Nothobranchius furzeri: one gene and its partners. The protein of the gene in region 1 purifies or fractionates together with the protein of each later gene. This does not show direct contact. Links are inferred from orthologs where the notes say so. Each region holds a gene or a part of one and is shown in the gene's direction. Other genes may lie near its edges.

What was found. Proteins that work in one complex are often made in the same cells at the same time.
Region 2: the proteins of vps50 (region 1) and vps51 purify together in Homo sapiens (affinity purification with mass spectrometry; 7 studies listed by BioGRID and IntAct, counting the BioPlex papers as one, with this or other methods). This does not show direct contact. The link is inferred for Nothobranchius furzeri from reciprocal best matches to the Homo sapiens genes VPS50 and VPS51.
Region 3: the proteins of vps50 (region 1) and eipr1 purify together in Homo sapiens (affinity purification with mass spectrometry; 4 studies listed by BioGRID and IntAct, counting the BioPlex papers as one, with this or other methods). This does not show direct contact. The link is inferred for Nothobranchius furzeri from reciprocal best matches to the Homo sapiens genes VPS50 and EIPR1.
Region 4: the proteins of vps50 (region 1) and vps52 purify together in Homo sapiens (affinity purification with mass spectrometry; 4 studies listed by BioGRID and IntAct, counting the BioPlex papers as one, with this or other methods). This does not show direct contact. The link is inferred for Nothobranchius furzeri from reciprocal best matches to the Homo sapiens genes VPS50 and VPS52.

Annotation. Positions count from the first base shown.
Region 1 is NC_091751.1:27,569,740-27,573,844, reverse strand, and holds the start of vps50 (syndetin), read left to right. Parts: upstream 1-1,297; 5' UTR 1,298-1,419; coding exon 1,420-1,452; intron 1,453-1,939; coding exon 1,940-2,008; intron 2,009-4,105.
Region 2 is NC_091750.1:53,409,573-53,413,535, forward strand, and holds the start of vps51 (vacuolar protein sorting-associated protein 51 homolog), read left to right. Parts: upstream 1-1,153; 5' UTR 1,154-1,328; coding exon 1,329-1,514; intron 1,515-1,678; coding exon 1,679-1,808; intron 1,809-1,894; coding exon 1,895-2,041; intron 2,042-2,120; coding exon 2,121-2,340; intron 2,341-2,432; coding exon 2,433-3,327; intron 3,328-3,434; coding exon 3,435-3,650; intron 3,651-3,732; coding exon 3,733-3,816; intron 3,817-3,915; coding exon 3,916-3,963. UniProt on the Homo sapiens protein: Acts as a component of the GARP complex that is involved in retrograde transport from early and late endosomes to the trans-Golgi network (TGN).
Region 3 is NC_091758.1:44,403,893-44,408,048, reverse strand, and holds the start of eipr1 (EARP-interacting protein homolog), read left to right. Parts: upstream 1-1,346; 5' UTR 1,347-1,500; intron 1,501-1,759; exon of another isoform or gene 1,760-1,821; intron 1,822-1,924; exon of another isoform or gene 1,925-2,063; 5' UTR 2,064-2,094; coding exon 2,095-2,136; intron 2,137-2,246; coding exon 2,247-2,330; intron 2,331-4,156. Other genes in the region: trappc12 (trafficking protein particle complex subunit 12), read right to left, coding at 1-982. UniProt on the Homo sapiens protein: Acts as a component of endosomal retrieval machinery that is involved in protein transport from early endosomes to either recycling endosomes or the trans-Golgi network.
Region 4 is NC_091759.1:11,202,336-11,206,469, forward strand, and holds the start of vps52 (vacuolar protein sorting-associated protein 52 homolog), read left to right. Parts: upstream 1-1,324; 5' UTR 1,325-1,401; coding exon 1,402-1,497; intron 1,498-1,970; coding exon 1,971-2,052; intron 2,053-2,192; coding exon 2,193-2,245; intron 2,246-2,356; coding exon 2,357-2,432; intron 2,433-2,724; coding exon 2,725-2,792; intron 2,793-2,893; coding exon 2,894-3,069; intron 3,070-3,161; coding exon 3,162-3,312; intron 3,313-3,431; coding exon 3,432-3,532; intron 3,533-3,738; coding exon 3,739-3,871; intron 3,872-3,955; coding exon 3,956-4,011; intron 4,012-4,134. Other genes in the region: rps18 (small ribosomal subunit protein uS13), read right to left, coding at 234-320, 422-520, 1,093-1,095. UniProt on the Homo sapiens protein: Acts as a component of the GARP complex that is involved in retrograde transport from early and late endosomes to the trans-Golgi network (TGN).

The DNA of each region.
Region 1 (4,105 bases):
TCAGCTTTTATTCTGAAAGGAACCGTTGCTTGGTTGGTAAAAACAACAGATTTTTCCCAGCTTGGTGGTTTTCAGCTTAAAAAGTGAAGTACAGATGGCCGGTCCAATACTCCGCTTAGCATGCGTTGAACTCAGTGAGATCTTGAGAACTGAACTTAAGATGGCGTTGGAACTGTTTTATTAATCTGGATGTTTTGAATTCTGGTCGAATCAAAGCTGGCAGATTTATAAACACCACAGAGACTATGCCATGCTTCAGACTAGGAAGGTTCTGATTGGATCAGCAACAACAATGTGTCATGCGGTTGTTTACCTTACGTGTGTCAGTGTGTCTAGTGAACTAGAATAAGTCATATTACTTCTTAAAAACATATTAATCATGACATTGTGATTTCACAGATCGGTCACATTGTATTATTGACTAATAGTTGTTTTGATTAGCTTTATTAAAAATAGAGTTCTTTGATTTAATAAAAGAAAAGAGTCTCTTCATTTTCTGTCTTCTTTTGCTGGAAAGTAAACAGTTTAGAAGCAAATGCATGACCTTGAGGCTGTCTCATGCACCCTGGCGCTGTGTCAAAGGCAACTGTGGATAGAGGTTAAATAACCTTGGAGGAATAGCTTCTTCATCACGTTACATTGGCGAGCGCCTGGTGGCCAGACTTTCAACTATGGAGCCTGTCCCTAAGACGAATAAAGACGTGGGTCTCCCTTCCCATGGGTGCACCACTCATGGGAGGGGGCAAAGAGTCAGGTGCATTGTGTGATGGATGGTAGCTGAAGGTGGGAAACTTGGCGGTCTGATCCTCGGCTACAGGAGCTCTTGGTACGTGAGTCTGAGTTGGTAGGTGAGCCCAGATAAGCGTAAAATAATGGATGGATGGATGGATGGATGGACAATGACCAAAGTTCTCACATATCGATGGTGGCTTGTACTCACACAGATTTAGTTCTTAGAAATTAGGGATCACTTTAAATAATTTAACTACCAATTTTTCATTTAATTCGACTCAGGTTATAATTGTGTTTAACACAAAAAGTCAGCAGACATCTCAGGCATCTCCTAGGTCTCCTTAGGATTGTTATTATACCACCATCCTGTGGTGTTTAACAGTATTACACAAATTAAGGTGGTATAATAATGTTTAATTCCGCAATCATGACTTTGTTTAATAAAATAATTTTTTTCTGTCTGTAAATTTTGAATTTTATCCATAAGAAGTTTTAACAGGTAAGAAAAAGCAACATACACGTAAAACCACACTTCCCATGATGCTTCACAATTTTCCCTAGTTCCTGTTGTCACGTGACAGGCAACTATGGCTTCCTTCTCGCAGTGACAGAGGGTCACTATTGAAAACAAGGCAAAAATTAAAGTTGTAGCCTTTTATTTACCCCTTCACACCAGTAGGATTTACGATGCAGAAGATAAAGTCTCTTATGGCCCGTCAGGTGAGCAAGGCAGGTTCTTAATAAGCGACCAGCTGGCCGTTTGTGTCTGACAGCTGCAGGTAGCATGATAGCTAATGAAGCTAACAGCTAATTTGACAGCTCATCGTATTGCTCCTTAACGGCCACAGTCATGAGGAGAAAACTTAATCTTCTATCTGCTACATCACAGCTATGACGCATTTGTTTGGCGTATAAGTACATTTTTTATTTGCACGGAGGCGCTTTGTAATAGGTGTGCATCAGATAACTGTGCACAATGAGAACTGGCCGGTGAGGGAAGTTCTCAGCTTGCACGAGCAGTAAGGTTAGACCCACCGGTTTATTGGACCCCGGCTTTTAAAAATCTGTCCGCCAGTTCCACTTTTTGCCAAATGCTGCTGTTTGCTAAGAATAATAAGCTGTCTGACAACGGGAGCGAGTGACATCACGGTACAGGGTTATTTGATGTTTGTGACGTGATTCTGATCGGTGTTTTTGTTGGTGTCAGGGTCTGAAAAGTCCCCAAGAGAGTATGGCAGACCTGAGTCCTGTGGAGAACCTGAGGATCCCGAGCAAGGTAATCTTCATGTACAAGCTGAGACTGGTGGCTGAAGAGCATTCATTGTCAGTGTTATTGTTTTGGGTGGGGGGATGGAGTGGAGCTTTATTGACATCAGAAATTCAAAACTTATGGAATCTATGGTATCGTGTCTGGATATTATAATGCTAACAATACATCAGTTCCAACTAAATGTGTTTTGGCAAGTGTGTTGTTTTCCTTGTCTTTAGCTGTTGTATCAATTTATCATTTATGTCATAATGTCTTAAATTTACAATCAATGCTAGGCCTGTCACTATTATTGCTTTCTAAAACGAGTGTAAATATCCAGGTGGATGGCTCGTGGATGAGTCTGTGAATGTTAAGTGACAGTGTGATGTAGATCTGTTCGCATTTTCTAATTCTTGAGTTTCACCGTCTATTTTCTATCAGAAGCTAACGCTGGAGATAGGTGTAGGAGACTATCTTCATGTACAGCCTGCATGAAAAACTCAGAGTGACTGGTTATAAACAGAAATAAGATTTTAAAAATGGCTTTTCTGTGGTCTCTAGCAAGAATAAGTGCCTTGTATGTAGTATTCTGGGAAATAAAGTTCTGGTGCTTGTGTTTGAGGAACTAGAAGTGAGCCATTTTCAGAGGAGGGCTTCAGACGACAGGATTTAGAGTCTTGTTTCCTGATATTTGACCATCTCTCCTCTGATTTGCTAACATCAATGTGACTCTACCACTGACTCTGCATGCTCTGCAACATTGATGCTCTATCTCCATACATAACACAAGCCTGGAGGGGTTCTGCTGGGTGGTGGAGTTGTTAATGCTAACGGTTAGCTTTTGCTTCTGCTAGCCGAGACTTTCTCTTCTGTTTTCTGGATGCTAAACCAACAACAACCTTCCCCGTGTACAGCTAATGCAGGAGAGAGGTGTTGGAGACTGTTTTATGTTTAGCCTGCATTAAAAACTCTGAGTGATGGATTATAATCCAACACAATAATTAAAAAACTGTTTTCAGTGAAAGAGAACTTTAAAAAGCAGAAGAAGAAGAAGAAGAAGAAGAAGAAGACCAAAATGAATTGACAGTTTTTATGTCAGTTTTTCTGGTGTTATGCTTTCTTTACATGTAAATTAGTCATATGTTCACATTGTTCTCAGACAGTTGTGTAGGAAATCATACAGCTCATGTTTGTATAACCTAGGAACATGTAGCATCACAGATGGAGGGAAATAAAATCTCCACACTGTATTTTCTTGTTCTGACAGGTTTAAAACTGCCACGCTTTCTTACAGGAACTGTTAGTCATACTTAAGTTGATCAAATGAAGTTTGTTGAGCTCTGACAGAGCAAAGCCGCAGAGTGGCTCCATGAAGTGAGGAACCACCTCATACCTCAGTGCACCGCTAGCTTCCCACTCTGACTTTTAACTTCTGTGCAACGTGACTTAGTACAGTTTGCATGCTGACAAACTTTATTCGTTCACATGGATGTGTGAAATCAGTTCAGCTGATGGAAGCAAACATCTGATTTCTCTTATAGCTTTTATTTAGCTTTGCTTGGTCTGAATGGTCTATTTATTCTGGGATCTTCTGATGTTGTTCCACATTGTTTGTTGATCTTACAACTGTTGGTACTTAAAGGGATTTGCTCCATTGTCAGGTAGTTTATGATGGTTAAAGGGGAACAAGGCAGTTTTTACATGATTTTAGCATCCCCTATATGAAACTAGGATTGGGACAACATTACATTTAACTTGTTACATGTTTTGTAACTGTGACTTTTGTTTTGTAACACGTAACTTTTGTTTTGTAACATATAACTTTCCATTTTGTAACGGGTAAGTTTACTTTTGTAGCATGTAATTCTTATTTTGCAACATGTGACTTTTGTACGTAACATGTAACTTTTATTTTGTAACTTGCAGAAAAAAATCAGTGTACAAGTTTCAAATCACAACTTTCATAACACAAATCTTAGTCTACAGTTACAAAACTTGAAAACATTTTGTCGAAATTCTAGCTTGCTTCCAACAGGAATTGTCTTTGACAGTGTAAAGGATGAGTAGTTTACATCTTACTTATGAACCATAAAATGTGAGATTCCATAGAAATATGAAATATCA
Region 2 (3,963 bases), on another chromosome or scaffold:
GGTTCATCTCATTATACAAACAACAGAATGTTATTTTTCCATGCTTTAAGCCCAACTACTGTCTGTAAACTGCAGCAGGTCTGTGTGTTGTTGCTAACCTACACTATGCATGTCTCATTGTAGAATAGGCATTCCAGCATGATACACAGAGGATGTTGCACTGTTAATACTAACACACATTTTTTTCATCATCAGGCTGTTTTATATTGATTATGAACTTTTGAAAGAATATTTTTACTCTCTACATATTTCTTGTTTGTGTATATAACAGTGAAGAGTATGGTCAAATAGAACCCTGCCCTTTCAAGCTGCTACTCTGCAGAAGGTTAAAGTGCCTTTTTGTTTGTACTCACTTGGATGTGGTCAAAAATGTATTTTTTTTATTTATTTCCCACACAGTTAACTAACTAATGCATTATCCATTTCTACTGATGTTAAAAAGTGCATTGCAGTCTTATCATTTCTGCTGTTTAAGTATTTGATAGTAAAATCCAGAAATTTTCCCCTCATGATGTGTTTGTTACGCCACTACCTAAAGCCCAAGTACTGAATAATGAAGCCAAACCTCAATGTTATTCTGATTTCATGACTCAACTTTTCCTTCATCAGTATTTGTTTTGTTCACTCATACTTGTAGATTTATTTTACCATTAAATGAAATACTTTGTCACCTATATCAGATGCATTTGTTCATTTTATGTTGTTTGTAAGTAGTATGTATATGGTGGATTGAAATAAAATGAATTATAGTATGTCAATAGATCAATTAATGTGCAAACAAATGCAAGAGCGGGATTGAAATTATGTGTATTGATTGCTTTGAATTTTTCACTGAGAAAATAATATAAATCACAACAAAAATATACCTTTTCCTCAAAGCGCTGATCAGCAAAGAGAAAAACAACACAAATATCAGCGATATTAGTAACAATTGTTCATCTTTTTATTATGTGTAATTCAGTAAAGATTTCGTGTTTTTTGTTTAATACTTATGTTGATATTTAATGTTTTGATGAACAATAGCTGTACAAACGGGGAAAAAAGACCATAGCGGAAGTGAACTGCTGTCGCGCATGCGTATTAGTACTGCACGACCGATTACGCTGACTTTCGGAGAACGTTACCTTGGATTGGCTACAAACGCGGAAATAAGGCTAACAATCATCTGCTTTTATTTGAGAGAAAAATAGTCTTATTTTTCGCATATTCACGCCACAAATACTCGTTATTTAGTGCAGATAGTGGAGTTAAACTGACATAAGATATAATTGAAGATATAAGCTGTCGCCTGTGTCCTTGTTCCGTTTGTCAGCTGGCCGGAGTTCAGTATGGATGTCGACGCGGACGGCTCAGTGGCGATGTCGGAGGAGTCGGGGAGGAGGCGAAAGGTGCACGGCATGCTGAAGCTTTACTACGGGCTGAATGAAGAAGGAAAGGCCCCAGAGCAACCGGAGTCTCTGAATCCCTGCGACATCAACGGGCCGCATTTTGACCCGGAGCTGTACCTTAACAAGGTGCTGTGAGATATCAGCTGTTGGCTTTAAGTGTTGTCATGTTTTAGACATAGTCTGTGTGGCTGTAGTTAAAGAATTCCATATGATCATTGGGGATTTTATTTTATTTTGTATCCTGAATGTGAGTTATAAATGATCTTTGACTGATCTGTGTCCTATTACAGCTCAGAAAGGAGTGCTCTCTTGCTGAGTTGATGGACCAAGAGACCTGCATGGTGAAGCAGATCCGCTCTTTGGACAGCGACATGCAGACCCTGGTCTATGAAAACTACAATAAATTCATATCTGCTACAGGTAAGTGGAGCATCACACACACACACACATCTGCTTCAGTCATAACCTGGATGTGTGCAATCATGTTTTTATTTTATTTTTGCTAGACACCATAAGAAAGATGAAGAATGATTTCAAAAAGATGGAAGACGAAATGGACTGCCTGTCTACAAACATGGCGGCAATCACTGACTTTAGTGCTCGGATCAGCGGGACGCTCCAAGATCAGCATGCACAGATCACCAAACTCTCAGGTTAGACTGCAAATTGTCTTTTGGATTGTTCTTCAGAGACTTTGTTCATGCTTGTTCCTCTCGTCATGTTCCATGTTAGGGGTCCACATGCTGCTAAGGAAGCTTCAGTTTCTGTTTGAGCTGCCTGCGAGGTTGAACAAGTGTCTGGAGCTGCAGGCGTATGCTCAGGCAGTGAGCTTCCACCGGCGTGCACGCTGCGTGCTGCAGCAGTACAGCCATCTGCCCTCCTTCAAGGGAATTCAGGATGACTGTCACGCCATCATGGAGAAGCTCGCTCAGGAGCTTCGACAGAAATTCAGGTGCCAATTTCCTAACCCATTTGCAAAAAACTGATTTAATTATAAAGAGCTGCCTATGAGATCTCTGGCTTTCTTTTCTCCTGTGCACAAAGGGATGGCGGTACGAGTGCCAAAGATTTGTCTGAGTGTGTGGAGCTGCTCCTTCAATTGGACGAGCCTGCAGAGGAGCTCTGTGATAAATTCCTGAGCCATGCCCGGTCTCGACTCGAGTTAGATCTCCAGAGCCTAGAAGCAGAGATAAAACCCTACCCAGCTTCAAAGAAAGAAGCATCTACACGCAGATCCTCAGGTAACATGTCCTCTGGATCTCCGACTGATAACTCCCCTAAGATGAGCTCTCTGTCGTCTCCCACCTTGAACACAGACATCTTGGAGTTCATAGACAGAGGATGCAATGAATTTGTGAGCAGCTTATGTTTAGTGATTACATCCTATCAAGAACTGTTCATCAACCATGCTCAGACAGGGGAACTAGCTTCAAAGAACATCCTTCAGATGGCAAATGGTAAGCTGCACACCTTTGTGGATGATTTGACCACCCGGTATTTCTCACTCGTTGAGAGGAGGATACAGGAAGAGAAAGGGGTTAGTGATAACTCCCTCCTGGTCCGTGCACTCGACCGCTTCCACCGCAGGCTACAGGCTGTGTCCAAACTGCTGCCAGGCTCGGCGGTGCCCAACAGGGGGACAGAAATTGTCATAAGAGCAGCTACAGAGCGTGTGAAGCAGTACCTGTGTGCCCTGCAGAACTTCTACATGGACAGCCTGACGGATGTGAGACAGGCCTTGGCGACGCCTCGGCTCTCTGTGGCTGGAGGTGCAGCACATCTAGGTGGACCTGTCACGGGTAGAGATGCACCAGCTAGCCTACCAGAGCTGCTCTCTTCTTTGTCAGCTTCTATTCTCAACCAGATTAAGTCGGTGCTGGCGTCGGTTCACCTCTTCACAGCTAAGGACATCACGTTCTCCAATAAGCCGTACTTCAAGGTGAGTGTTCCCCTTTAAACCAGCCGGTTCGATAATTCTGTGCCTTGATTCTGCACTTTTGTGGATGTGGCTGCTATTTTTCTTTCTTTCTCTCCTCCTCCTCCCAGGGGGAATTCTGCAGCCAAGGTGTGCGCGAGAGTCTGGTGGTGAGCTTCATCAAGTTTGTGTGCCAGTCCTCTCGCAACTTTTGTGAAAGCGCGGGAGACAAAGGAGGTTCCACTCCTCCAGCCCTTCTGTTGCTGCTGTCCCGGCTCTGTTTGGACTTTGAAACGTCCACCATCTCCTACATCCTCACACTCACAGACGAACAGTTCCTTGTGCAGGTTTTACACCACCATTAACCAAAGCACTGTGCTTTTTTACTGTCCTGAATGGTTCTGCTCACGTTTCGTTTTTATCCTCCAGCACCACAGTCCCATAACACCGGTCACAGCTTTGTGCGCAGAAGCCAGAGAGGCGGCACAGAAACTACTCAATCATTATGTCAAGGTGGGTTTGTTTCTTTTCCTTTTTATGATTAACAAGTAAAACAGTTTAGAGTCTAGAGCCTTATGAGTGCCTAGTAATAATATGTCTTGTTTGGTCCAGGTTCAGGGTCTGATCATCTCCCAGATGTTAAGGAAGAGTGTTGAAACG
Region 3 (4,156 bases), on another chromosome or scaffold:
CAGGCGTAGGAGCTCCGGAGTCCAAAAGTCCTCCTGGGGTGGAAATTGAGGAGGAAGTAGAAGAGCGCTGGTGCTCGGGTGTGAAGCTTAAGGGTGCAGGGGTGGAAGCGGGAGACACATCTGCGTTAGGGTTTGAGATGGAAATGAAGGAAGATGGGGCAGTAAAGGAATCAAAGAAGTCAGAGGCTGGATTGGCCTGTCCGTTATCAGTAAAGAACTTACTAAGACTTGGGCTGGGCTGGCACACCAGCGGGGCAGTCATCTTACTGGGAGTCACTGCTTCATCACTGCCTCCACCACTCCCCGTGGTAAAACTAGGGGACTTGATCAGAGTAGGCTGAAAGCCATCAGGTGCCAGGGACTTTGGCTGTGTGCCCTGGCTAAATATGGTGCACACTGGCACAGGCTCATCTTTAGGACTAGTCCCTTTGGGTGACTGATGTTCTGGATCCTCACTCTTGATAACAACAGGACTATGTGCTTCACTCTGAGGTGAAACCACTATTTGAATTTGCTCTTCTATGTCAATCTCTTCTTTTATGTCGTCTTTGGTACATTCTTGCTCCTTTTGATCCACTGGCACTTTAATCTCAGTTGTATTCTGTCCAATTTCACTTTCTTCCTTTTTGTTCCCTGAGGATCCATTCTCCTCCAGCCCACCATCCAGGAAGGAGTCAATAGGACCCACATCATCCTCCTCACTGTTATTGGGCGAGTCAGAGATCATGACACTCTCCATCATCTGGTCATTGAGTCTATCCATCAGGCTCTCAGAAAGTGTGGCACTGCTGTCCTCTTGTGGAGTGACGAATTCCCCTGCACCCAGGTCAATGCTGTCCTGTTGGAGCAGGATGTCATCTTTGGGAGGGGTCTGGATGGTGTTAGTTGTATCTGTCTCCGGGACAGAAGCTTCATTGCTGAAGTCTTCCACTGTAATGCCCAAAGTAATAGGCCGCTGGGCATTACCCTCCCCTGTATCCATCTTACTGCTTATGAAAGAAAACAACAAATGTGTTAGGTCAGTGATGAATTGTTTTATTTGGAATCTCCAAAACACTGATTTCTGGGTTGAGGGTCAGCATTGTGTTCTATTTTTCAACAAATGATGTTCAAGTGTACTTTGGTTACTGCTTGATTCAGTCTACTATGTTCGAAATCTGTCTGAAGTTTCTGATAGTGGTTGTGAGGAGTGACTCTGAATAAACTAACTGAGGGGAGGATGTGATTAGAATAAACTCGTATAACATAAAAACACTTATTTTTTCCCTTCTTAGACAGCAACGTTCAACTGTGTGTATCTGTCTGCTGAATAACTTGAGCAGTGGCAGTTTACCTGACTAGAATACGCAAAGTCTGGATATGAAATCGTTAAAATTGCGTTTTGTTTATTGCGCTTCATATTTTCAGGAAGTTGGACGCATCCCCTTCCTGTCACTACTTTCAAACACCTGTAATTACACGCATGCACCGTTAACATTGTATCACAGCTACAGCGATAAGGTGAGTTTGAATATTTTTACTATTTCACGCGACATAGATGAAGCTATGTTGCTCAGGACTGCTATTTGATGCTAGGAGGCTATGATGCTAATGCTACGTAGCTGTGTGGCGTTACAGGGCGTAAAATAGCAGCTGTCACACTACAAAAATAACTACTAATAATTCAAAACGAATGGGACACGTCACACGTATAGTCAAAATAGAACAAACAACACATTTTAAGAAGAAATACAAACATTAAAAATCGCTAATCTCTTACCTTACTGCAGCTGGACGAACAAAAAAGCAATGCGCATGCGCCGCGTAGGGAAACAGTGTACAATTGCCCGGATGTGACTATATGGTATTCTTCACGGCCTTTTACGTAAATTTCAAACCCATCCTTACGTTTCAAATCCGCTGTTACGTATTTCAACCAGAGTGTACGTTCTTTTCTCTTGCATTTTTTTAAATCGCGGAAGTGATGCTACTGTTTCTTGTTTTTAACACTACTACGTTTCACAAAAACAGCAACTTAAAGGGTTTCGGGGTGTTTTATTTATTTTTTTATTTTAATTTTAAAGGATAGAACTGAAGGCTGAAACAAAGTGAAGAATGGAAGACGACGCTCCTGTCATTTATGGTCTGGAGTTCCAGGTAGGCTGTGGAGTCCTCTCTTGTTACTCCATTCATTACTCTCCTCAGCTATGCTCTCTTCTGCGGTTCATTATTTAAATATGTTCCTGTCACGTTTTGTTTTTCTGCAGGCACGTGCACTTACTGCCCAAACAGCTGAGACTGATGCTATCCGCTTTCTCGTGGGGACACAGTCACTTAAATTTGACAACCAGGTAAGAACACTTGTTCACTTCTAAACATATACAGTTTGATCTCAAGCACACGTTCTATACCTTCGTTGAAACTTTATTGGTATGTGTATTCACATGTAGTACACCTTTTTCATTTTAGTTTTGTTCACCAGCACATAATATAAACCAGTCATCATTATTGATGGTTATTGATTACAACCTAATAAAAACTCCACATAGAACACAATGTCTTTGTATAAACTAAGACTGGCCTAATATTCAAATCCATAAAATACAGAGATTGCTTGATGAAATCAATCTAGAACCAGTAAAATTATTATTTGACTTTTAACATAAGTACAGCTTGCATTTAGTGGCATGTATTTGTGTAAACATTTAACTTGAAATTAATTAAAAGTTTTTTTTCATATGCACATTAAGGAATCATGTATTCCTGTACAATGGAAGGATTACTTCTTTTCCCGCCAATAAAACTCAAGAGTATAAAATCAACATATAATGAATGTAAATAATTTGCACAATCAAACAGAGCATATAATAAATAAAATAAGAAATATTGTGCAGAGAAGTACTTGTGGAAAATGAGCATATTTTATCTTTCATTGTGTTTGATTGTAGTATCAATTTCTGCACAAACCCTCTGCACATTTCTCCTTTCCCTAATAAACTATGTGCGTTGCAGTATGATGACACATCTCAATAAAACACTTAGTTTGTTTAATCCAACATATTATGATATGTATTACCAGAGAAAATTAGATATGACCCAAACCTACTAGAGTCAGGTGAACACATGAATGTTTTTCTAGTTTCAGGTGCTTTTCTAGTCAGACACAGTCACCTAAATGCTTTCCCCCAATAAGAACACCATGCATGGAGTTTGGAATCAACTGAAGAATACAGATCACTTGATTTTCTGTTTATGTTGTTCGATTCAGTGTGTGTGTGTGTGTGTGTGTGTGTGTGTGTGTGTGTGTGTGTGTGTGTTTCCAGGATCTTACCTACTAAAGCATTTTTTAAACTATTGGATGAGCTCCAAAAAGTAGAAAATCATTCTCAACAGCAGGTGATGTATCAGAGCTTATTTAACTCAGATAAATACATTTTTATAGAAATACTTTAGGTTAAGCATAAAAAAACTCTATTACAAATACTGCAGATAGTAAAAAACGTGCCGTCTACATGTTTCAGAGGGAGAAAAATACCTTAATCTATCTGTACAGAATAAAACACACCCTTTTATGACATATTTCCTGCTCTTTGAACTGTGGATCAGTCGTATCAGAAAAACGACGACCACCAATGAAGAGAAGATCTGTTCATCACACTTCATCAGAAGCAAGCTGTTCAGCAAAGGACAAATGTCCCCTTTAATCCACCAGTATGGGACAGACAGTTTAAACATAGAGTAGGACTTGAAACAAGACCTATTTACTAATGAATCCATGTTTGATTTGGTGGCAGTCACAGAAGGGTCTATGAAGGAGGCCAGCAGAAAGTCAGATGATGCGACAGAGAGAAGAAGGGATATTTTTTCTACTCTGGTGTTGGAAACTTGCTCTGGATAGATTTCACCCTGACCAAAGCGAAGACAAGTCCTTAAAGACATGCTGCGTGCTCTAGTTCCATCTTCTTAGGTTTGAAGTTCTCATTCACATCTCATCAGAACACTGTCTCATTTCTAGTATTAGATGCGTGATCCCTGTACTTCTTTTTAGTTTTACTTTGGGAAATTATATATTGTCATAGTTGAACTTAAAGTCAATATCCTAATTGTTATAATTACTGTAACCATGAACATTAAGATTATGTCTAAAAAACAACAGATTTTACCTAAAATATTCACA
Region 4 (4,134 bases), on another chromosome or scaffold:
AGTCAAGACACCTAAACGGCACCGACAACAGCAGCAGTAACAACTTTTACTTTAAACGACTGCAAACTACCCAGCTGTTTGTGACGAAAACTACTTCTGATCTCTCAAACCTTCACAGCACCACCACAGCCGATTTCCCCTCCACCATCTAAAAACTTGCTCTCCTGGAAGCAATTTTTTAAATGCACCACGGTTTTAGAATTGCAGAAACGGTGCAGGTTTTCTGTTCTCACCTCCTCCTCAGTCAGCTCTCCAGCCCTTTTGTTGAGGTCAATGTCGGCCTTCCTCAGGACTACATGGGCATAACGTCTGCCAACACCCTTAAACCAGACAGAATCCAGTCTCAATGGTAAAAATCAGGCAACACAAACATTGAGTCTATTAACAAGAAATTTAAGTGGTATTACGAGACATAACATACCTTGATGGCAGTGATGGCGAAGGCAATCTTCCTCCTACCATCAATGTTCGTGTTGAGAACACGAAGAATGTGCTGGAACTTCTCAGGGATGACCAGAGACTGAAAACAGCACAAGTAAAACAACAACGATCAAAAACAGTTTTAACATTCTGTACAGACCCAGTACTCCACTAAAATAACTAAAATAAACCATTAATACACTCATCTTTACAAACAGGCAACGAACTCAGTATGTTTAACAAAGCTGCTCAAGGAAAATAACTAGTCTACTGCAACTGTCATGCTTTTGGCTCCTTTGAGGCTCATTAGTATGGCTAGCTAAGCGCTAGTAGCTTTGAAAAATCCCTAAAACGTATAAGGATTACAGAACATAGGGGAAAATAACATAGCTTATTTGAGCTTTAACTGCTCCATTATACGTATAATTATGTTAAACAAAAATCAACTTGCGCTACTCCGCTTCTACCGGTCCCCACTGTCTGCTAGCATTGATGGCAAGTTACGTTGAAATAAGTCAAAATCAACAGACATAACATCAGCCATATCACTAGAACCAACCCATACAAGCTGCATATAAATTATACCGTGTTTATAAACAATGAACAAACAAGCACAACGAAGGATGAACGTGGATTTCAAATCTACTCTGGTTTAAGATATACCATACTGACCATCTTGGAAGTAGGTTCCGTGCAAAGAGGAAGGCGCTTGTTTCTCGCGAGATTTTGGATCAGTTTTTGCCGGAAAATGATCCTTCATTTAAAAATGTCCGATAAGCAACTGGGTTTGCTAAACAAGTACATAAATTGCTAAAATACGTGATGCTAAAAAAATGTTTGATATCGTTATTGTACGTATTTATATCAAGCGACCTGAAATTTGAGATCACGTTTTTTTATTTCAAAACAGAATAAACATTTCGAGCTTCAGTAAGCGGAACTTTCGTTTGTTGTGCTTACGTTAGCATAAATTTCGCAGCCATGGCGGATGCTGTTTTGGGTTTTGTTGGAGCTGGTTCTGATGTAAATACAGGAGGAAACTCAACACAAAATGTCATGGCGTACCTACAAGACGAGGTGACATTTCATTATTATTAGTAGTGCGGGTCTGATTTGAAGAAACAACGTATTCAGCTCGTTAAAGTCTGTTGACAACTAATCATTTGATGAATCGTCATGAACCATGTCCCTTATCTCAAATGTTATTAATTTCTTTATCAATCTTCACCTGTAATTTGCTATAAATCTAAAGTTTGTCAAGTTTGTATGTGTAAGGTCTTAACCAGGAAATACAGTACCCATTAATTGTATGAAACTGTCGCATTTTGATAAAAATTAAAGTTATATTTATAAGAAACAGGAAAAGCAACTTTATTATGAGCTATGTTCATGAATATCTTGTATATTTTCTCGTTTCCAGTTTTTTTCAATCAGATTGTTGTGCAAAACAAAAAATCTTATGTAATAAAATAAATAGAAGTTGGAGTCCCCTCTCAAGTATTTGAATTTATTTTTATTATATGTGTGATTCTGTTTGTTTCTTTTTGCAGAAGACCGATGGAGACATCACCAACCTGAGCCTGGGAGAGCTGGACATCACCACCGATGAGTTCATCTTAGATGAAGTGGACAGTAAGGGCGCAGTTGCACTCAAGCTTTACTCATACACATCTGTTTTAGAACTTTCATGTCTGCTACTTCCCATCTAGCCTTGGGTTTCTGCAATATTCTTTTTTATTTTATTTTATTTTTTCATTTTTATTCTTTTATAGTTCATATTCAGGCCAACCTGGAAGATGATCTTGTGAAGGAGGCACTCAAAACGGTAAGTCCTGTCATGTCAGTTAATTGTACTTCACTACCAATCCATGAACGATTTGCTGTCACATTTCCTATGATATACTACTAATATGCGTCCTCTTCTGTTCATTTCTAGGGTGTTGACCTCCGTCAGTATTCCAAGCAAGTGGAGGTGGAGCTGCGGAAGATTGAACAGGCATCAATCAAAGACTGTATCCTTCACAGCTCATAATTTACATGTCTTGATATTTTATCTGTCCTCACAGAGCTTCCTGCTTTTTCTTTATGTATGTGTCTGAGTGGCAGGGTCCCTCTTCACATGCAGTTTTTATTTTATCCAACATATTCAAAGTCATACTCAAATGTTTGTTTACATTCTGAGGTTAAAAAGTTGTTTTAAAGAAATAATTTGATGGAAGTCAGTCATACTTGCATGCTATTTTCTGCAGCCAGAAACCTAAATGAACTCATTCTATGTGGTTTCCCTGAACCTTCGCCTCGTAGACATTAAGGAGAGTCAGAACATTGCTTCTCTGCACAACCAGATTACAGCCTGTGACTCTATTTTAGAGGTGAGGCAGGATTTCTTCATACTTTACCCTCAGAAACGTTTGGCTCCACTGTCCAGAAAAACCTAAATCGGGGTAAGTAATGTTTTTTTCCCCCCTTTCAGCGTATGGAGGGGATGCTGAGCGGCTTCCAGAGCGACCTGTCCTCCATCAGCAGCGAGATCCAGACCCTGCAGCAGCAGTCTGTCAGCATGAATGTCCGTCTGAAGAACAGGCAGGCCGTTCGCAGCCACCTGAGCCAGCTGGTGGATGAACTGGTGGTGCCTGGAGCCATGATCTCGTACGTTTAACAGCTTCTGATTATTTGTAACAATGCTGTAGGAAATGTCACGTGTTGATGTCTTGTTGCTGAAGCTTTTTGGATCGTTCCAGCACCATCCTGGAAAGCCCGGTGACGGAGCAGGAGTTCCTTGAGCAGCTTCACGAGCTTAACTCCAAAATCAACTTTGCAAAAGAGCTGAGCTTCAGGGAGACGCTGGCCTGCTCCGACATCCAGGACATCGTTGATCGCCTCAAAGTCAAGGTGAATCACAGAAACCGCTGTTGGAATTAACAATAATAATAATAATAATAATCACTGAAGGGTCACAGAAGTTCATGTTCTGAGTTTAAATGACACTAGAATCACTTTTCCTTCCTTAGGCAGTGTCAAAGATCAGAGAGTTTATTCTACAGAAGATCTACTCCTTTAGAAAACCGATGACCAACTATCAGATCCCACAAAACACTTTGCTAAAATACAGGTGAGCCTTCGGTAAATGGAACGTTTTGTGGACCGTTTAGTTCCTGACGCAGTTTGACGTGGATTAAATCCATTAAAAGTTTCTAATTCCAGCCTAACCTTTGGAATTTGGAAGGAACTGTGAACACGTTTTTATATTTCTAATTTGTGAAATTAAAAAAAGATTCAACCAGAATTACATTATTGCCTGTTTTTGTTCTGTTGTAGATTTTTTTATCAGTTCCTTTTGGCCAATGAGAGAACCGTTGCTAAGGAGATCAGAGATGAGTATGTAGACACCATGAGCAAGATTTACTACAGTTACTTTAAGTCCTACAGCAGCAGACTTCTCAAAGTTCAGGTCGGTGGTTTAGTATTCACATTTTCCGTTTAGTTGAAAGTATTTTGTGTTTTATGTGACCCGATGTTCTTTGTCCTGCTGCAGTATGAGGAGGTAGCCGATAAAGATGACCTGATGGGGGTGGAGGACACCGCCAAGAAAGATATCCTTTAAAGCTCCTGTTTGCCTCTTCATCCATGACCTGATGATGTCACTTGTTTATGTTAAACAAAACAAAAATGTAAATGAATAAAAAACAGCATCCAGCGAGACAGGAGAGCAGT